3 linked regions of the Tamandua tetradactyla genome follow. The protein of the gene in region 1 interacts with the protein of each later gene in a pairwise test. Links are inferred from orthologs where the notes say so. Each region holds a gene or a part of one and is shown in the gene's direction. Other genes may lie near its edges.

Region 1 (7,513 bases):
GGCAGGCACCAGAATCAAACCTGGGTCTCCAGCATGGCAGGCAAGAACTCTGCCTGAGAAGCCACCATGGCCCGCCCAACACCCCTCAATATTGACATTCCATTGTTCTTCCTCATGCAAAAACATTATTTAATTTTTACATTTAGCCACTGTCATTGTACATTCTAAGCATTCCTAGATTATACCACCTCAGTCTTTATTGTCTATCTTTCCTTCTGCAAACCCTTGATCTTGAGGCTTGCTTTTATGAAGCCTATTTCTGTAGTGGAGAAACTAAATCTACCTATGGTTATGCCTTAGAGTTACTTCCAGAAAACCTCTTTTGTTGCTCAGATGTGGCCTCTCTTTCTTTCTCTAAGCCCAACTCTGTAATGGAAAATTATTACCTTCCCCCCTCCATGACACCCAGTGGTCAAAGCTTCCCTGGGAATGTGGGACATGACTCCTAGGGATGAGCCTGGCCCTGGCATTGTAGGATTGACAATGCCTTCCTGACCAAAAGGGGGGAAAAATGTTACAAAATAAGATAATAGTATATAAGAAAGTTCAAATATAGTTGAGAAGCTATTCTGGAGGCTACTCTTATGCTACCTTTAGCTAGAAATTGCTAATTAGCAGGGTTTGCCAAACCCCAACCAAAACCATTCCTGTTAAACCTAAAGAACACCTAGGGCTTTAGTGGAGATTCTACAAAAGTTTCATACTCTAAGATTATTTTCCAGAAATCTACGACCTCCAGATGGTTTCCTAGGCCAGATAAGTCCTGAAATCCAGAGAGCAGCTTCTCCAATAACAGCAAGTAGTTCCATCTCCCATCCTATATTATTGAAACTCCTTTCCAACATGAAAAAGTTAGAGTAGGCATAGCCCAAATACCCCTAAAGATTGGGAGAAGAATCAGAAGAGAAGAAAGAGTTATAACAAAGAAGATGGAATTTAACAAATGAATTATATACTGATGCTTCTTTCAGTCTCCAGTGTCTTGGAGCAGCTAGGAATAAAACTCTAAAATTGTGGAATTGTAACCCATACCAAACTCTGAAATCTGTTCTTTAGCTACTTGTTACAATGTACTTTGAAATTTATTGTTTTCTGTATCTGTTATATTTCATAATAAAAATATTTTTTAAAAAAAGGAGGTTTGGGTAAGGTAGCCCTGGGTCCATAAAGCCTATTCATAACCCTTCTTTCACACTGCAGAGGCCTTAAGTTCAGAAGACAGTGCTCTACATTTTAACTAAACGTGTCAGCCACTGGAGACGTGAGTGTGTGTGTGTGTGTGTGTGTGTGTGTGTGTGTGTGTGTAGGATATGTCTGTACAGAAGAGACCTGGCTGCTTGCCACCACCCTTCTCAGATAGTTGTGCCCCTCCCACATACACACTGTTAAACTGGAAGGGGCTGCAGAAGCCATCTAAAGATCTAGTCCCTTCCTAGACTGTCAGAGGCTTACATTAGTTCATTAGGTCCACTTGCTTACCTCCTATATGTAGGGTTCTAAGGCCCTGAGCCTAGAGATCCAGAATGATTTGGGCAGTTCAGCTGCCTGTTCTTTACAGCTTGCATGTTGGATCTTCAGTTTCCAAACCACAGAACCATAGGACAATAAAACTGGACAGGACTTAGGGATCTGGACTACACGATCCCTAAAGTGCTGTCCAGTTTTACTGTCCTATGATTCTGTGGTTTGCATTGGATGATTCCTGTTCACATTGCACTGGATGATTAAATGACTGTTCCCAAAGGCTCAGAGCCTCTTCTTTCCTTTCTCCTTCTTGGGTGAGGGAATTCGGGTCATGGTAGACAGGTGCAGAACTCATGGCCAGCACCACAGTCTGCCTTAATCCCGGGAGTGCTGAGCCAAGGCTTCCATCCCAGACTCCCTAATTCAGCCAGCTGTCAGACTGTGGGTCAGGATGGCAGAAGAAGAAGGCAATGTGGATGAGGAAGATGTGTTCCTGGCATTTGCCCATGGTCCAACTCCAACCAGGGGTCCTGTGTGTCGGGCCTTGGACAAGGCTTTATTTATCTTCCTGGCCCTTTTTTTGGCACTGCTGATGCTGGAGGCTGCCTATAAATTGCTGTGGCCACTACCTTGGGCAAAATTTGGGGACTGGCTCCTGGGCACACCTGAGAAGGAGGAGGAGCTGGAATTGTGACCACCTTTCCATAAATATCCTTTTTCTCTGCCACGGAGGTGAGAGGGGAGACAGGAGGGAAATGGGAGTGTAGGGGGCTGCAAAATGGCTACTTGGATAGCTCAGAGCAGTCTTAAAATATTTGCATTACGCTCCCTGAAATAATTTTGAAAGTCAATACTTCCTCACATATTAAACCACCCTTTTGTTTTTATTTTAAAATGCAAATATTTCCAATATGCCAAGAATTACATCCTTGAAACAATTTTAATTTATAATGAAAAATTTTAGCTGCCTATTTAAAGGTATGTGAGGAAATATTAACTTTTTCAAAATTATTGAAATACCATAGCAACTTGAAACCCACAAGCACCCATTAAAAAATACATTAAGAAGTTTTTCTTTAGCAGTTGAGAATCTGCTTTTCCTTTCTTCATTATCTCCTTTTCTCCATGAACTACTATTACCATTCTACTACCCCATTCCCAGATAATTTTATATTTTTATACTTGAAAGTCTCTTATCGATCAACCTATATACTTTAATGCATGTATATATACATTAATTAAAATGAAAAATATTTTTCTTTCTTGTGACTATAAGCTCTAGATGTTGACAATTTTTCTTCTGGGTTGGGTTATTACAATTATTATTAGAATAAAATTGATCAAAGCAACATAAAGATTTTGCAAATTTTTATAATTATTAAAAGTAAAAAAAATACATGTCTAATGGAATAGACAAAGTGGCATTTACAGCTTTGATAAAGGAAATAGGTTACCTGTCTCTTTGAGACAGAGTAATATTACCCCAAGTGATTTCATGATTGAAAGCTATACTTCCTTTTCTTTTGAGGAAGAAAGTGTATTGAAAAGGAGAAGGGATGAAGGGAAACCTCTATTGCAGGGGCTTACTCAGGAAGACTAGTTTTGGGAAAGTTGAGGATTTGGACATTAAACCCTTTAAATCTTCCATTTCTGAATACCCTTTGGGGGGTTTTCAAGTTTCCCATTTTGAAGACTATAGGTTTAAAAAACTGGAGATAAGTAGTATGTGGGATTCTTTAATGGGCGGAGGCTTTAAAGTTCTGGGATTCTGATGGCACGGGGGACGTAAGGACCTCTGCAGTCCTGGAAAGTGGAAAAATGCCCACTTGTGGAATGCGCAAGCATGTAGGTGGGAAGTTCAGAGACTGGGGCGATGTTAACTTAACCAGGAAAAATATCTGGTTTCCCCATAAATTCAACTCTGGACCCCGCCCTGGCTCCATCAGTCTCTCAGGCCTTCCTAACGCCGGGCGAGGTTGGGGCGGGGGTAAGGTGGGTGTCACAGGCGGTTTCTTTTCCTTCGTTCTTTCCTCAGCTCTCCCAGAGGAAAAGGAGACTAGACCCGAGGTTTTTCACAAGCCTCATTTCGTCTCACAACCCTCACAGTGGATTTGCACAGATTCCCCTCAAAGCTGCCGCACCATCGTTCATCCTCAGGCCCTGGGGCTCTTCCACAAAGCACAGCCTCCTGGTCAGCACCGCCCGCGCTTCGGGGACCCCCAAGAGAGGGACGGAGAACCACCAGGTCCCATCTGCTTAATTTCTGTGGAGCTTGAAAAGCAAAGCAACAGCAATAATAACAATAACAATCCTATAGCGCGTTGTGCTCATTTGTATGCTTGTATTATGATCTCACGATTGGGAGATGTAGGCATCTTGATGTAGAAGTAGCTGCTGGACAGCGGCAAGGGAGCGCTCAGCTCTTGGAAGGGGAGGGGCTGGCACGGCTGATTATGCTGTGCACATGGTACCTGGGAGATACGAAAGCAAGGCCGGAAGGCTTAATAGCCTAGCGGAAGGAAAAGGTTTCATTTCCATCTTAAGAGACCCCCATCCCTCCGTGACTCCTGAGCAGCCTTGAAGAACTTAACTCCTTATCCATCCTGTTCCATCCCCGCGTGCCCTCCCCCAGTTGGAAAGGTGGCTTAATCCTCCCTGCACGCTACTCGCTGCCGATTGTGCCCGAGGCAGGAAGTTTCTGATTGGCGGAGTCGCAGAAGCACCGGGTGAAAAGAGATCAGCTGGCCGCGCTGAGCCAGCGCCGTACGGCAAAATGGTAGTTCCCGGGTGCTTTAGGACGCCCTGCAGGGACAAAACCCCGCCCCCTACAGATCACAGGAAAGGGAACCGCAGACAACCTGGGCGGCACTCGGAGGTCCCGGGTGGAAGGCGTACAGTTACTTCCGGCCACAGGAAAACAGGTTTCCGTACGACAAGATGGCCGCCACTAGGTGCATGTAGGCGGAAACTCGGCGGCTTCCGGTCCTGAGTGGGGCCCGCGGTGGGAGGGGGAAGGAAGGCGGAGGGAACCATGCGAGGTTCTGAGATCCGCGGCGAGGGTCGCCTCGAGAGACCGTTTCTGAGGTGGGGGCCGGACGGTGTGGGGAGTGGGGGCGGGGATATCGGGGGACAGGTAGTGGGGAGGCCCGGGCTCTGAACCTGAAGGGCAAGCTGTGGTACCTTCCTATGCTTGAGGGGGAGCGGGGTGGCTAGGAGCTGAACTGGGGGAGGGGGACTTGGCGGGAAGCTCACCCAGGGAAGGACCCGACCCAAGGTTGGGATGAGAGGAATCGGGAGAGCCCAGTGCGGGGCTCACGAGCAGTTACGGGTCACTGAGAGAAAATGGGGGAAATTAGAGTGGGGTGAGAGGAAGGGGATTCGTGGTGAAATATCTCCTGTGGGTTCGAGGGGACCTATTAGAGGTTGAAATATAGAGATAATTCAAGGAGGAGAAAGGGTTGTTGGAAGGGTCCATCTTTTACCTGCAGGGTCTGGGAGTTAGGCTGATAATTCAGGATGGGGTGGAGGTACAGATTTTACGTGTTTGATGGCAAAAGGGGAAAAAACACCTGGGGTGGCGCCGATGGGGGTGTGGTATCAGCAAGGTGGTGTCAAAGAAATCTGGGATCCAGTGTGGGAGGTGGTCCTGGGGCTGGGATGAAGAATCAACTTGCCAACTGTGAGAAAACAGTGGAGAAATGCAAGGAAGAGACCGGAAATCGGCTTGAGGGGTGGAGCTGGGGGTGGGGACTTAAGGTTTGGCGGTGGTTTGGGGCCCCAATAGGTGAAGGACATGAAAAGCATATGAAACTAATGGTTGCTGAAAATAAGCAGTGAGGAGTTGGGCAGGGCTGAGTGTAATTGAAACCCAAGAAGATTGGAAATGTGTGAGATGAAGGGATGGGGCTGTGCTGGAGGGGCTCTTTCTAAGGCCCCATCCCCTTCCAGCAGGATTTCCGAAATCCCCAACACTTCCACCCTCCGGGGGATTTGATCCCCCATGGCCACCGCTAACAGCATCATCGTGCTGGATGATGATGACGAAGATGAAGCAGCTGCTCAGCCAGGTCCCTCCCACCCACCCCCCAGTCTGGCCTCACGCCAGGCAGAAGCCCCTGGCTCCTCCGAGCCCCGTGGGGCTGGAGGAAGCAGTAGTTCGGGCGGCAAGAAATGCTACAAGTTGGAGAATGAGAAGCTGTTTGAAGAGGTGAGCTTTAGGGGAGAAGATTCGTGTATCTCAGGGAGGGGGATGGCTGATTGGCTCATCTGTCCTTTCTTTCCCATTAATCCCACGCTCCCTTTTTTCTCTCAACCCCCTCCCTTGTCTCTTTCCCCTTCCCTCTCTCCCTGTACCCTCCAGTTCCTTGAACTGTGTAAGAAGCAGACGGCGGACCACCCTGAGGTGGTCCCATTCCTCTCTAACCGGCAGCAGCGTGCCCATTCTCTGTTTTTGGCCTCAGCGGAATTCTGCAACATCCTCTCTCGGGTCCTGTCTCGGGCCCAGAGCCGGCCAGCTAAGCTCTATGTCTACATCAATGAGCTCTGCACTGTTCTCAAGGCTCACTCATCCAAGAAGAAGCTGAACCTGGCCCCTGCTACCACCACCTCTGTTGAGCCCTCTGGGGATAACCCTGCCACAAACCCCTCTTCGGAACCCACAAATGCTGAGACCTCTGCCTCTGAGGCCCCAAGGACCCGTGGTTCCCGGCGGCAGATCCAGCGCTTGGAGCAGCTGCTGGCGCTCTATGTGGCAGAGATCCGACGGCTGCAGGAGAAGGAGCTGGATCTCTCAGAACTGGACGACCCGGATTCCACATACCTGCAGGAATCTCGGTTAAAGCGTAAGCTGATCCGCCTCTTTGGGCGCTTATGTGAACTGAAAGACTGCTCTTCACTCACAGGCCGTGTCATAGAGCAGCGCATCCCCTACCGTGGCACCCGCTACCCAGAGGTTAACAGGCGCATTGAGCGGCTCATCAACAAACCAGGGCCTGATACTTTTCCTGACTATGGAGATGTACTAAAGGCCGTAGAGAAGGCAGCTGCTCGCCACAGTCTCGGCCTCCCCCGACAGCAGCTCCAGCTCATGGCTCAGGATGCCTTCCGAGATGTGGGCATCAGGTTACAGGAACGACGTCACCTCGATCTCATCTATAACTTCGGCTGCCATCTCACAGATGACTATAGGCCAGGTAGGAGGTTAGCAGGATGCCTATCAGTGACCCTTATATGTCAGGTGTGTGGCCGAAGGGGCAACTCTCTAGTCCTTCCTTCTAGTGTTTGAGTTTAGTTCTCTGACTTTATATTTTCCCACATAGGCATTGACCCCGCACTGTCAGATCCTGCCCTGGCCCGGCGCCTTCGGGAAAACCGAAGTTTGGCCATGAGCCGGCTAGATGAGGTCATCTCCAAATACGCAATGATGCAAGAAAAGAGCGAGGAGGGTGAGAGACAGAAGAGAAGAGCCCGGCTTCCCCAAGGCGCTTCTTCCCACTCTGCAGACTCCCCCAAACCCTCCTTGGATTCTGGCGAGGTATGGGAGGGACATTCCCTCCAGAGAGGCTATAGCCACCCTTGTACTAGCCACCCAGAAGTCCAGGGTGATTGATGGGGTAAAGTGCAGAAGGAAATCAAAGACTGGAACCTCTGGGGCAAGTGATTCCTTAGAGAAACTCCTTCGTCCCCAGGGCCCTAGTGGAATAGCATCCCAGGAGTGCCCTACCACCTCCAAGGCTGAGACAGATGAGGAAGAAGATGAGGAAAGTGATGAAGAGATGGAAGAAGAGGAAGAAGAGGAGGAGGTTACAGATTCTGAAGAGGAGGATCTGGAACAGATGCAGGAAGGTCAGGGGGATGATGAAGAGGAGGAGGAGGAGGAAACAGGTATGTTAGGGAAACATTCTCGCCAAATGTTAGTTTCCTCTACTCTATTGGCCATAAGCTATCTGTTTGAGACCCTTCCCTTCCTCCTCTTTTCCCCTAGCACCCCCTCAGCAGTATTATTTCACTTAGGTCTCATGTCATTCTTCCTCTTTTCTTCTTTCTTAGG
Region 2 (6,933 bases), on another chromosome or scaffold:
TCCTCCTCCCCACCTTAGAGAAGTCACAGCCCTCCAGGCCTCCACCTTCCTCCTTAGTGACAAAGCACTTTTGGAGCCCAAGTCAAATCCCTCAGGACCAGCAGAGTGCTGAGTCATGGTGGGGCAGCAAATTTCCACCACATCCCCCACCACTGGCCTCCTCCAGCTCTAGGACGGGCCAGCTTTCTCCCGATTCAACCCGCCAGGCCCTTTTCCCCTCCCCTACAGCCCCTCCCGCGGCTCCTGGCCCCGGGAGGCAGCTGCCTTGGAGACCAGCCAAACTCCAGCCTCCTAGAAGTCACGCGAAGCAGAGGGGCGGGTGTGTGTGCTCCTGGTCAACAAAGGTCCAAAGACCAGGCTGCAGCTTTGGAAGAATCTAGAGACTTAGAGATGGCAGTTCTGACACCCCTCCCCCCAGTTGGCCCTCCAGGTGGCAAAGCGGCACAAGTGCATGCATGCACGCACGCGCGTACACACACACTCACACAAGATTTCCCTTCCATTCTTCCCAGCCTAGCCAGCCCCCAAGCCACGTTCTACAGTACAAACCGTCCCTCCGTTTTGCTCTGAGGTTCACTGTAGCTGCCTGTGTGTTTAACCAAGCATGGAGCCAATAATGATTCATAAATTCTGCTTTCTAAAATAGGCGCATTTCTCTCCAACTTCATGCTAGCGCTTTCCCTCTGGAAAGCCCCCTGGGGGCTATTCAAACTCAGCACCTCCAGTCCAAAACAAAGCTGGCCATCTCCCATTTCTTCCCGTGCTCCCTGTTTCAGAGAAAGGAACCAGGAAGCCAGCTGTCCGGGCCAGAAACCTAGGGAGCTGTCTGCCCACCCCCATATTAACCCATCAGCCACTTCATCCTGTCCATTGTTTCTTCCCCATGTCTCTCAATCTGTTTTCTGTCCCCTCTGCACACTGAGGGTTAGGGTTGCTGTCTCCCAACTGGTATCTAGCTCTCTCGCCTAACTTTGATCCATCTTCCACGCTCAATCACTCATCCATCCATTCATTCAACAAATACTGAGCATGACTAACAAAGCACCTTGCAAAAGTCCTGGCAGTGCAGCGATGAAGAAGTTAGAAACAGTGTCTGCCCTCAGGGAGCAGGGGAGACCATCAGAGTGGTTACCAAAAGGTGGGATTTATATGTATATGATATATAATTACATTATATATATATATTACATTATGTAACTACATATATATATATTTTGCTTATTGACAGTCATGACTTATACAAGCTACAAATACTGTCAACCCACCTTGTTATTTGTCTATTTAACTTTGCAAGTGGCATCTTTAATTTTACTGGGGTTTTTTTTTTTTTTTTGCATGGGCAGGCATGGGCACTCGAACTCAGGTCTCCAGCATAACAGGCAAGAACTCAGCCTGTTGAGCCACCGTGGCCTGCCCAGTGTTTCATTTTTAAGGAGTCAATCTGCTAAGTTTCCTTTTAAGAAGGCCTCAGAAGAGCACTCCCTACCCCAAAACTATAAAAGATAATCTTCCATATATTTTTCTCACCACCTAAAGGTGGTATAAATGTATAAATAGGTTTTTCTTTAACGTTTGTAATTTTAGTCCATCTGGACCATATTTTTTTTCTTTTGAACCATATTTTTTAGTAGAATGAGTCACTGTTTTCCAGATGACTACCAATTGTTTCAAAATCATTTCCTGAAATCATTCTTTCTCCTCTAATTTGAAATGCCACTTTATCATGTACCATGTTCCCATAAATATGTGGGTGGGACTGTTTTGTTGTGCTGACCTAATCACTGTTTCAATTAAACACTGCTTATAGCACTTTTAGTACTTTTTTGTTATCAGGGAGGGCAAATCTACCTTTAAAGCTTTCTATCCCCAAGTGTTTGTCAGCTATTCTACACATTTTTTACAAATAAACTTTAGAATCAAGTCCCAAGAAGTTTTATGGAAATTGCTTTGAATTTATACGTTTATTTGGGGAAAACCGACATCTTTAAAAAATGAAACCTTTCCATTTGGAAACATGGTGTCTCCATTGCAGCAAGTTGTCTTTTCCTTTCTAGCAGTAATTGTTGACAGTTTTTTTTTCATACAGTCCCTGTTCACTTTATGACAAGGTATTTTAAGCTTTTGTTGTCAATGTAAATGAATTTCTTTTTCCTTTCATCACATTTTCTAAATGGTGGTTCCTGTTATGTAGGAAAGCTTTGCATCCGGTGACTTAACTGGAGTCTTATTCTAATAAATTATCTGTTGATCCATTGTAAGATCTCTAAAAACAAACTACTGCTGTGTCTCCCTGGTTAGAAATCCCTTAGAATCTCCATGTTGAATCCAGGATAAAGTTTAACCCCTTTTTATGGCACACAACTGTCCAGACCTTGCCCTAGATTCCCCTTGCATCATTCTCCAACATGATCTTTACTCTCCAGGCTGACACCCTTTCTGAAGGTTCCCTGGACAGACCATGCATTGCCACACCTTCATACATTCACATATGCTGTTCCCCCTGCTTGGAATTCTCTGGCCCACTTCACCTTCCTTTTAATTAACTTCTCCAAACTCGCGTATCACTTTCGTAGCGGAAGCCTGCATGACCTATCCCTGTTCGGGTAAGGCACCCCTCTTCTGTATTTCACAGCCAGCTTCTGCTTACTTTTTCGTAACTCTGACCCTACTAGAAATTCTTCCTGAGACTAGTTTACGTTCATTTTGAAATGAATAAAGCGCCAAGAGGGAGAAACTGCCATACTTCCATCAGCAAACTTCTTTTAATATTTTAATGGTGTTCCTTGAAAAAACAAAACAAAACAAAAAACAACGCTTTGGAAGCCCAGCTTCCAGTTTTATGTGTGTGAGCATTAAAAGGGTTTTTTAATGGGTCTCCACACACATCGAAGGGGCTGGCCGAGAACAGAGAACCCCCAAACCAGGAGGCTAGGAGGGCAGGAGGCGGGAGTCACGAAGTCGTGCCCACACTGCTTCACAGCTGCGAGCCCCCCACGAGCCCCTCCAGGGTCCCTGGCGCCCGTCCCCCCACCACTCAGGGTCATCAGCTTCTCTTCAAGGACAACCCCAGGGGAGCGGCCCCTCGCGGGGTCTCCTCGACCCCAGGCTCCCGCGAATGGGGCGCCTACGAGGCCGATCCGAGCCGCCTAAGTCTCTTCTCCTTTCTTTTTAAACTCCCGAGTTCTGTGTTTTGAGTTTTAAGCCACCCGCGAATTTCTCACGTCAGGCGGCTCAGCTCCGGGCCTCAGACTCCAGGGCACCAGGACAACGCCCGTCGCGGCCTTTGTTCTCACACTGCACGAGGAGCCATGTTTGCTCTCGGCGACGGGCGGGCGCGAATCCGAACGCCCGCGGCGGGCCCCGCGCCTCCATTCTGCTCCGTAGGGAAGGGAAAGTGCGCCTTTTCCCAACCCAGCCTCTGACGCCCTCGGCCAACGAGGACCCGCTTCTAACCACCGTCCATTTTCCCCTGGGAATCCGGGCAAGCGCCTCGAGGCGCGTGGCAACCGCTTCTCTGAGGCCCGGATTTTGTTCACAGCGTGTCCTTGGCCAAGAGCCTCGGGGTGCCCGTTTGGTACCTCAGCATCCCCCCCAACCCCCCGTCCCGACCACTTGCGAGCCCGGGGCCGATTCCCACCAGTTCCGCGGCCCCGTGGGCCTCCGAGCTCGGGGCTTTGTGGTAGACTCGGCGCCCCTCCCCAGGCCTTCCCTCAAGCCCACTAAGCGCGCGGTGGAGGGGGGGGGGGGGGGAGGCGCCCCTCCCCCAAGCCAGATGGGAGGGGCTCGCGCGCCCACCGGAAGGGGCGGGCCTCAGAGGGGCGAGCGGGCGGTTCTGATTGGCCGGGGCGGGCTTGACGCCGACTACCCGATATAAGACGCGGGCTGAGCAGCCGTCCGCCGCAGACGTCTTCGCGGAGAGTCGCCGTGGTTTCCTGCTTCAACAGTGCTTGAACGGAACCCGGCGCTCGCCTCCTCCCCGTCGGCCGGCCACTCCGAGCAGCTTTCAGCCACCTCTCCAGCGCCGCGCAGCCGCCGCCTCCTCCTCTCCTCAACCGCCCACCATGACGACCACGTCCCCGTCGCAGGTGCGCCAGAACTACAACCAGGACTCAGAGGCCGCCATTAACCGCCAGATCAACCTGGAGCTCTACGCCTCTTACGTCTACCTGTCGATGGTGAGGCCTGGCGAGCGGGCTCGCGGCTGGGTTGGGGGCCGGGCGCGGTCTCCCTGGGGCCCCGCGGGTTGCTGGGCGGGGCGGGGGTGTGGCCACCGCCTCCGCGCGCCCTTGGGAAAATGGAAGCTGCTCCCAGTCTACCCCGGACATGCATTGCGCAGCAATTCTGATTGTGGGCAATTTCGTGCCTTCCGGGTGTCCCAGGGAGCGCTCCCTCCTGGGCTAGAGCCTCCACTGCGCACCTCTCTTTAGGGAGGGGGAGAGTCAAGTGTTCTGAAAATCCCGGGTTTGCAAGACTTGCAGACTGTACATTCAAGCCTGCGGTTAGGAAGGTGATTTTTTTTTGTTGTTGTTCTTCTGCCCTTTTCTCCGCCTGCAGCCGTGTGTGTGGGCCCTCCATTTCTCTGGGTAATGGGGGCGAAGAGCTCAGCTCCCATCCCCCAGGGTATGGCGTCGAGTGGCAACCTTGGGGGCTGGGTGGGAAGTGGTTTATCTCCCGTGGGCGGGCCCCCCCCCCGAGCAGCCATCTCCAGCCCTTTGCTGTGCTTATCTGTAAGTCCCACTTGAATTTAAGCGTATCTCTAGGAATCGCCTGCCTTCGCCGAGTTACTTAACCCGCCCTTGCGGCTCAAGACTTAGTTCTTTTTCCTTTTGCTGCTTGGTTGGAGGGTTATGGAGGCGCATTAATTGAACTGTTAATTCTTGATAAGAGGCCATCAACAGTTAACTAGGAAAGAAATGTTTCCATGCAATAAATCGTCACGTTTTTACTCGTTTTACCAAGTCTTGGTTTTAGGCCCTGTGGTGGGAGTATTGAGCAGAACTGCCTTACATAATTTCAAGTTATCCAAGAACAGACACGTACCAAATGGGATTGGAAACGGGCCTGGATTTCTGTGTGCCATTCAGTTTAAGGAACACTTGAATACAGCAAGGGTCTAAAACTGAAAAATCAAAATGTTGTTTTCTACGGTAATACATTAACATCAGCATTTGCCCACAAGCATCATCTTCCCTGGCCGGTTAATTTTGAAAATCCAGGAATCTACTGTACAGCTGACAAGTTTATGAACTCTTTAGAACACATGCTTTAATGTGGGGTAATTGGGAAGGGAGGGCAAGGAAGGTACTGGCAGTAAGAAATTCTCTTCTGCACCAATAGTCTTTAGGATCCGTTGTGTTGAAGGTAAATTCCTATGATATTCTAAAGGTTCCCCAAAGAAGCAAGCTAAATCAATTTCAGTTTTGTATTTTAGAGTAACAACTCATCACCCTTAGGTGTAGAATTCAGGAGCACACTTGACCGGCATCTCTTTAGGGACTGTCCCCTCTTGATGTGCTTTGAAAGGGAAGCGGTGGCTACCAGACTCATTGCTACTTAATAGCCTGTTAAAGCTACTCCTTTGATAATCCCTAGCCTAATATATACATCTTAATACTTTCAGTCTTACTACTTTGACCGTGATGATGTGGCTTTGAAGAACTTTTCCAAATATTTTCTTCACCAATCTCATGAGGAGAGGGAACATGCTGAGAAACTTATGAAGCTGCAGAACCAACGAGGTGGCCGCATCTTCCTTCAGGATATCAAGGTGAACAAATGATTCTAGAGGCATCATGTGGGCCTCCTAATTAGCTAGCAGTGTTCAGGTGTCAAATCACTTGAAGATTTCCCTTTTAAAATGAGGTTACATTTAATTTTGTCTTTTTGGTGCCTTATTTCTGCCATCTAAACTAAAGTAGGCAAACAGTTATGGGCAAGGATGTTAAATTGAAAACTGGTGTCAGGGAAGCTTGAATGACCCTTTTGGAGAAGTTTGGTCGTTTAGAGCTAGGTGCCTGCTCTGTTGTTGATGGGCTAATCACTGGATGTGGCAGATGTTTGACCTAACCACATCTCATTCAGAAACCAGAACGAGACGACTGGGAGAGCGGGCTGAATGCAATGGAGTGTGCATTACATTTGGAAAAAAGGGTGAATCAGTCACTACTGGAATTGCACAAACTGGCCACTGACAAAAATGACCCCCATGTGAGTGTTGGAAACTGGGGACTAAAGGGGGGAAGAAATAATTTGCCTTAGGGGCTGGAAAGGCTTACCAATAACTTTGTTTCCCATTTTTTTCTAGTTGTGTGACTTCATTGAGACACATTACCTGAATGAGCAGGTGAAATCCATCAAAGAGTTGGGTGACTACGTGACCAACTTGCACAAGATGGGGGCCCCGGATTCTGGCTTGGCAGAGTATCTCTTTGACAAGCACACCCTGGGAAATAGTGATGATGAGAGTTAAGCCTTACGCTGTCTTCCCCAGAGTCACGGGGTGACTTCTGTGGTCACCAGGGCCGTGCATGCATGTTGGGTTTACCTTTGCCTTTTCTATTAAGTTGTATCAACACCCACCAAGTTGTTTCATTTGTACCATTCCTTCAAATAAAGTAATTTGGTACCCAACTGTTGTCTTGGAGATCTTTGAGTTGGCTGGAAATCTGTCTAGGCCATCTTGGCAGTTAAGCACCACAGTTTAGTTTCAGTCATAATAAAATGAAATTCCTCTGAGGATTTATATTTATTAAATTCCTTAGTTTGGGAAAGGTAACAGGTGTAGGTGTTTTGAATTTAAACAAGACACTAAGTACTCCTGAATTTCTGAATTAGGTTTTTGGAATTACTTGTTTTCAGTGGTTCATTCTAATTCACAATTTACGTTTAGAAAGCATAGGACGCTTAAGTAGTTCTGGAACTACTGACTTTGTT
Region 3 (6,907 bases), on another chromosome or scaffold:
GAAACCGAATCCGAGATGACTGGGGAAAGCGTGAGAAATGGGAGGGGGAGAGAGGGGAAGAGAGAGATTTACGGAAACCAATTAGGGATTATATATTTGAATGTGGTTTAAAGGGGGCAATTTTAGAGTGTGTATCTGTAACTAGAGTAAAAATTAAACACCACTGAACCCTAATGTGAACACACTATAAAAAGTAGAATTATGATCATTGAAGCAAAGGTACCACGCCAATGCAAAGTGTTAATGTGGGGCGGGGAAGAGGGGGAAGTCTGTATTTTCTGCATGGTACTTTTGTAAACCTACAACTTCTCCAAAAATAAATGTATTACTAAAAATAAAATTGTAGAAGGTTACATCCAGGATGTCCTCACTTAGATAAAAACTAAAAACTAAAAATAAATAAATGAATAAATAGAGAAGACCCTTGGGGCACCCTAGGCTGCAAGCCGTAGAGCTTGAGAGTTAGTGTGATTGACCACTACTAATAGGCTTTCCCTCTGCGTGGTGTGTTGTGACAAATGCCTTTGGAAGGAGGCAGGAAACCTTAGGAGGACAGGACCAGGGCTAGGCCTCCCTGAAAGCCCCAGGCAGGCAGAGGGAGCTGGGCACCTCCATGCAATCACATTCAGCGCGTGTTTATTAAGCATTGCTGAGCCCACCGGAGACACCGGGAGAATGCCTACTTGGTAAGACTTTTGGCTCTACTGGGTGGCCTCATGCACCCCCCACCATCCATAACTGCCACCAGGCTAAAGGAGATGCAGCAACAGTGGCCCGAACTCAAGTTCCTGGGAGCCCAGAAGAGATGTGGCCCAGCCTTGGTTAGTGTTCTCAGGACAACTGCATAGGACATCACAGGTGGCCTGAGCAGGACAGTGGGATTTCTCAGGGTGCCTGGATGGAAGGACAGGCCAAGGTAGGAATGGTGTGAACACAGGATTGAGGGTGTGAACTGTGTGCCTCATTCAAGCTGTCGGGAGGATGAGGGGAGAAATTCTCAAAGGGCTCTAGTGTTTGAGATTTATTTGGCAGGAAATCGGTGCTTCTTTGGTAAAGAATGAATCGACAGCAATTCAGGTGGAAGGCTGTGAGCATCTGGGGACAAAGCCTGCCTCTCAACTACAGAATAAGGAGAAAGATGCTGGTTTGGGAGTAAAAACCTGGATTGGGATTTGGGGATTGTAGCACAACCATTTCCTAGCAGCAAGGCCCAGTAGTGACCTAACCTGTCAGGCATCAGTCTCTTGCATGGGAAAAGCAGGTGATGGTATTACCTGCCTCATGGTGGGGGAAGAGATGGGAGAATGTGAGTGGGCTATTGTACAAGGGGCACTTAAACTGTCACATCCTAGGTGGCCAATGCATATCAGCTGAATCACACCCTAAAGCAAGTACAACAACTGAAGTCCAGGGTTAGGATGGGGGTGATGGTGGAGGAAAGGAGTGAGGTGCCAGGGTACAAAATTTAAGGAGGCATTTGCATCAACTCAGAGCAAGGGGCTCCTTAAATTGTGTGCCTTAGGTGCCTCACTTGTTGCAGTGGGTTGAATTGTGTCTGCCAAAAAGATATATTGACATCCTAACCCCTGACACCTGTGAAAGTGACCTTATTTGGACATCAGTTTTTGCAGATGGAATCGAGGTAAGATTAGGGCATACTGGATGAGGGAGGATCCTAAATCCATTGACTGGTGTGTTTATAAGAAAGAGGAGAGGGAAACAGAAACACAGAGGGGATACACAGGGAAGAAGTCCACATGAAGGCAGAGGCAGAGATTGGAGTGATGCAGCTATAAGCCAAGGGTTGCCGAGGAACACCTGGAACCACCAGACGCAGGAAGAAGCAAAGAAGGGTCCTCCCCTCGAAACTTCAAAGGGAGCACAGCCCTGACGACACCTTGATTTCAGACTTCTGGCTTCTACCACTTGTAAGAAAGTACATATCTCTTATATTAAACTGCCCAGTTTGTGGTCCTGTGTTATAGCAGCCCTGGGGAACTAAGACACCTTCCCCTTGTCTTGGCAGAGATGACAGCTCTGGTGCCTCTCAGTTTTCCTTTCTGCCCACAGCGCCCTCCGGACGTCTTCATTCCTGTAGGGAGAGTCTCCTGTGGTTTGAAAAAACAGGGTCATCATTCAGAGTGCAATCGGGGGTCAGAGGCATGCCAGCCCCTTGCCTCGTACTGTTCCCTGTGTTTCAGTTGCACTTGGACACCTTTAGAAAGCCTTGGCCCATTGTGCTCTCTGTCCAGCAGGAAATGGTGTCACACTTCTCCTTGTCGAAGGAGTAGCTGACGTCCAGGGGTGCTGAGTGGCCCGGTGAAGGTTCCATCGCTAATTACTGGCAGAGCTTGGATTCTCCTGCCAGACCACCCTTGGACAGGGTGGCCCAGACCTCAAGGATGGCCCTCGCAGAGCAAGAGGGACTTCAGGCGATGGGGCCATGCTGCGGGTCTTTTCCCTTCTCTTGTGGGCAACTATATTTAATTTGGTTCTGCCCAGCCTTCCCTGACCCCAATACTTGGAGCTGGAGAAGATTCTGGATTCTCAGGGGAGTCTGTGTCAGGGATTCTGAAATGAACTAAGTAGAATGGAGGTTTAGTGCCAGCCCCTACCAAAGGAAAATGTTATTCACCACCCATGAGGCCCATAGTCCAGGCTCAGGGGCCCCCAGGAGGGCCTCCCTGGGTCTGCTTGCCCACTTGAGCCATTTCTGTCCTGGAGCAACCAGGTGAAGTCTTGGAGTAGACAAGGGCTAATGCGAAAGGAGGAAGATGAGAGGGTATGTGCATGGGGTGGGGTGGGATGAGCTAAGGATAGGGGTGCCATTAAAGGATCTTTTCACAGAGAATGTTCCAGAACCCCTGCTGCTTCTGGAATGATCCCACTGAGCCATTAGCAGGAATTTAAGACATCCAATTGTAAATGCATGTGTTCTGGAAGACCAAGCACTAATGGGAACTCCAAGACCAAGGCTGGTTCCAGGGGTCCTGGTTGCACTAACTCCAGGCTATTCAGGCAGCGGTTCAAGTTCAGCACAGAGCTACCATGTGGCCCGCAATCCCGCTCCTGGGTACACACTCCAAAGAGTTGAAAGCAGGGCTTCTAACAGACACTTGTCCACACCACAGCATCATTCACAATAGCCGCAAGGAAGAAACAACCCAAGTGTCCATCAACAGAAGAATGGATAAAAGCAATGTGGCATATACATGCAGTGGAATCTTATTCAGCCTTAAAAATGAATGCAATTCTGATACTTGGAACAACGTGGATGAGCCTTTGGAAACGTTATGCTCAGTGAAATAACACAAAAGGACAAATGTTGTATGATGCTACTCTTATGAAATATCTAGAATAGGCACATTCATAGTGGTATAAAGCAGACAAAGTTTCCAGGGACTGGGGGCCAAAATTTCTGTTTTGGGTGATGAAAAGATTTTAATAAGGGAAAATGTGATGGTAGCCCAACATTGTAGATGTAAGTAATGCCACTGTGTGCAGCACGTAAAAATTACTGAAATGGCAATTTTTATATTATATATATATAAAACAAAAAATTGCTGGGCGGGGCTCCAGAGTTCCTGATTCAGCTGATCTGAACTGGGGGAGAGATTTTGCATTTCCCGCAAGCTCCCAGGGAGGGTGCTGCTGCGGGCCGGGGCCCCGCTTGGCGAACGCCTGTGTTACTGAGCTGAGAGGCGTTCCGGAGGCAGAGCGCGCTGCGGGGTGAGTTTCGTTTGCTGCACCCGGTAGGCAGGCTCAGTGTGGGGAGTTTCGTTTTCTCGCGGCCGGGCCGGGAGGGGGAGGACGGGGCGGGGCCGGCCGCCGCACATAAAGGCGCAGGCGGAGCGAGAACGCGGGTGTCACGGCGACAGCGCGGGGACCGGTGAGTGTCGCGCAGCTCCGGGCCGGGCTTGGGGACCACCGAGAGAGGCGTTTGTCCGGCAGGTTGCAGAATCTCCGCACCCTAGGCATTTCCCGAGGTTAGCAGGTGAGATCTTTACGGACTCTGAAGGTGGGGTCCTGAATCCTAATTCCCGTCCCTGCTCCTTTCTGGGATCAGGGCCTGGACGCCCCGGCCCCATCCCTATCGCACCCCCAGGGACGGCGGGGCCTGAGCAGTGCGGACCTGCCCTGGGCGTGAATGGAGAGAGCCCGCTGCCCCTGGGCTCCGTCTCCCCTCCCTGATTTTAGGAGTGAGACAACGACCCCATCCCATCTTCAAGGCACTGTAACTCTTCCCATGGGTTAAGTAAGGATCTGACCAAAGGGTTGGGTTGGGGGGGGGGCGCGGTGGGGGGTGTTGGGTGTGGGAATGGGATGCAGTCATGAGGAAACATGGAGGAATACCTGCTTGGTAAGACTTCGGCCCTTCTGGGCGGCCACATGCATCCCCCACCATTCATAACTGCCCCCAGGCTAAAGGAGATGCTGCCACAGTGGCCCGAGCTCAGGTCCACGAGAGCTAGAAAGAGAGCGGAGCAGGGTGGGCTGATTCCCCTGCAGTCATGTGTGCACACAGAGGGCTGTGCCAAGGGTTTTCTGAGAGGTTTGGGGCTGAGAGCTTAGGGGTTGCCCTAGCTTGACTCCTCCAAGGCCAGAATTGAGAATCCTCTCTGTTCACTCTTACAAGCCAAGGCCCCATCTGGCTGGATGCCGAGTGTAATGAATGAGCAGCAAGCTAGTTTTAATGACTGAGATTGCCAGGTTTCTGCAATCCAAACTGATTTTCAAAGTTGATCCAAGAAAGGCACAAACATTTAAGTTTTAGATAAAACCCACAAGATCTTGCTTTCAGGGAATCTCACTTTCTGAAACAAATGGAGAAAGAAATATGCTAATAAAGCTCTCTTTTAGCTGATCAAGTTGAACCAAGGTCATGTGGGTAGAAAGCTCAGGTGACCCTGTGACATCACCACCCAGTGAGGTCACCTGAGCAGCCCACCTCAGAAGGTATGGCACTCCAGAGAGGCAGATGAAGCAGAGTCTCCAGCAAGGGGCCTGGAACCCCCCTGGCACCAGAAGTGTTTCCAAAGGCATGGAGGGTCTTGGGGAATCAATTTCCAGATTGTCTTTTCCACAAGTACACTTCAAAATTGATTGCTGTTCATGATTGCCCTTTTCCCACCTTACAAGGAAGTGCATCTCTCTGTCCCCTTCCAAACTGAAGAGGTGCTGTCCTGGAGGCAGGTAAACCTCAAAGTGCCACAGAGGGGCAGTTTTAAATTTTGATGTCTGTGATATGTCCTTAAATTGAGGCAGCATAAACTGGAACAGGGCTTCGAGATTTTCCTGATTGATACATACTTCTAAGCATCTTTCTCAGTGGTGGGAATGTCTCTTGGGGACATTCCCCAAGGGACAAAATATTCCCCAAATGAAAAAATACTTTCGTTTATTTGCCTGCGTCTTCTAATTTATATATTTTGCATGATTTCAGGGAGGTTAGGAGAACAGTTCTGCATTTCCATCTGACTAATCAACCTTACATCCTCAAGTAAAAGAAGCGTGTATCAGAGGTAAGTTAGTGCTTTATTTTTTTTAAATTTTTATTAATAAAACCAAACATCCAACATGAACATTCTTAATGTATGAACTTTCCATACTTGGTGTGCAAGCAGTGGCTCACAATATCATCTCATAGTTGTATATTCATCACCATGATCATTTCTAAGAACATTTACATCAGTCCAGAAAAAGAAATAAAAAGAAAAAACTCACATATACCAAACCCCTTGCCGAGGCCTCCCTTTCTCTGACCACTAGTATTTCCCTCTACCCAATTTATTTTAACACTTGTTCACCGTATTATTTATTTTAATTCCTATTTTTTACTCATCTGTCCATACCATAGATAAAAGGAGCATCAGAACAAGGTTTTTACAATCACACAGTCACTTTGTGAAAGCTGCATCATTCATTATACAATCATCTTCAAGAAACATGGCTACTGGAACACAGCTCTACAGTTTCAGGCACTTCCCTCTAGACTCTCTAATACACCTTAAACTAAAAAAGGGGTTATCTATATAATGCGTAAGAATAACCTCCAGGATAACCTCTCAACTCTATTTGAAATCTTTCAGCCACTGACACTTTATTTTGTCTCATTTCTCTCTTCCCCCTTTCAGTTGAGAAGGTTTTCTCAATCTCTTGTTGCTGAGTCCCAGCTCATTCTAGGATTTCTGTCCCACATTGCCAGGAAGGTTTATACCCCTGGGAGTCATGTCCCATGTAGAGAGGCGGAGGGCAGTGAGTTTGCTTGCCATGTTGGCTGAGAGAGAGAGGCCACATCTGAGCAACAAAAGAGGTTCTCTGGGGGCGACTCGTAGGCCTAATTTTAGGTAGGCTTAGCCTATTCTTTGCAGGGATAAGTTTCATATGAACAAACCCCCAGGTTTGTTATAGGGTTCGGCCTATTGATTTGGTTATCCTCACTGCTTGCGAGAATATCAGAGTGCTTTATTTTTTTAATAGGTTTTATTTCAACTCATAGTAGAGACATTTTCACTGACTTTTGTCCAGAGATTATTATATGCTATAAAATGTAACATCTAGAACCTTTAGTCCCAGAAAACTTTTAAAAGTGAATTTAGGGCGGGTCATGGTGGCTCAGCAGGCAGAGTTCTCGCCTGCCATGCTGGAGACCTGGGTTTGATTCCCAGTGCCTGCCCATGCAAAATAAAAATAAAAAGAATTTTAATCTATGCCTACATGATTTTTTTTCAGTGGAAATAAGCATGAACAGGTAGTCAGTTAAATGCTTTCAAGAATGGAATGTATGACATTAAGATACACTTATGTGGGGGAGATGGGATGGAAATATGAATTTGAGGAACAAAAGGAACAGTGAAAACAATTTAGAGTTCAGATATATATTATTTTAACTAAAAAAAAGAAGTGT

What was found.
Region 2: the proteins of DAXX (region 1) and FTH1 interact in binary tests that used the Homo sapiens proteins (3 or more experiments, as listed by UniProt). The link is inferred for Tamandua tetradactyla from reciprocal best matches to the Homo sapiens genes DAXX and FTH1.
Region 3: the proteins of DAXX (region 1) and interferon-induced GTP-binding protein Mx1-like interact in a two-hybrid assay, tested with the Homo sapiens proteins (2 studies listed by BioGRID). The link is inferred for Tamandua tetradactyla from reciprocal best matches to the Homo sapiens genes DAXX and MX1.

What each region holds. Positions count from the first base shown.
Region 1 is NC_135331.1:89,253,879-89,261,391, reverse strand, and holds the start of DAXX (death domain-associated protein 6), read left to right. Parts: upstream 1-4,442; 5' UTR 4,443-4,548; intron 4,549-4,594; exon of another isoform or gene 4,595-4,640; intron 4,641-5,412; 5' UTR 5,413-5,464; coding exon 5,465-5,671; intron 5,672-5,824; coding exon 5,825-6,656; intron 6,657-6,782; coding exon 6,783-6,997; intron 6,998-7,151; coding exon 7,152-7,347; intron 7,348-7,512; coding exon 7,513-7,513. Other genes in the region: SMIM40 (small integral membrane protein 40), read left to right, coding at 1,916-2,158. UniProt on the Homo sapiens protein: Transcription corepressor known to repress transcriptional potential of several sumoylated transcription factors. Down-regulates basal and activated transcription.
Region 2 is NC_135335.1:12,987,345-12,994,277, forward strand, and holds FTH1 (ferritin heavy chain), read left to right. Parts: upstream 1-3,870; 5' UTR 3,871-4,061; coding exon 4,062-4,175; intron 4,176-5,620; coding exon 5,621-5,767; intron 5,768-6,081; coding exon 6,082-6,207; intron 6,208-6,304; coding exon 6,305-6,469; 3' UTR 6,470-6,630; downstream 6,631-6,933. UniProt on the Homo sapiens protein: Stores iron in a soluble, non-toxic, readily available form. Important for iron homeostasis. Has ferroxidase activity. Iron is taken up in the ferrous form and deposited as ferric hydroxides after oxidation. Also plays a role in delivery of iron to cells.
Region 3 is NC_135336.1:98,726,430-98,733,336, forward strand, and holds the start of interferon-induced GTP-binding protein Mx1-like, read left to right. Parts: upstream 1-3,844; 5' UTR 3,845-3,889; exon of another isoform or gene 3,890-3,994; intron 3,995-5,443; 5' UTR 5,444-5,522; intron 5,523-6,907.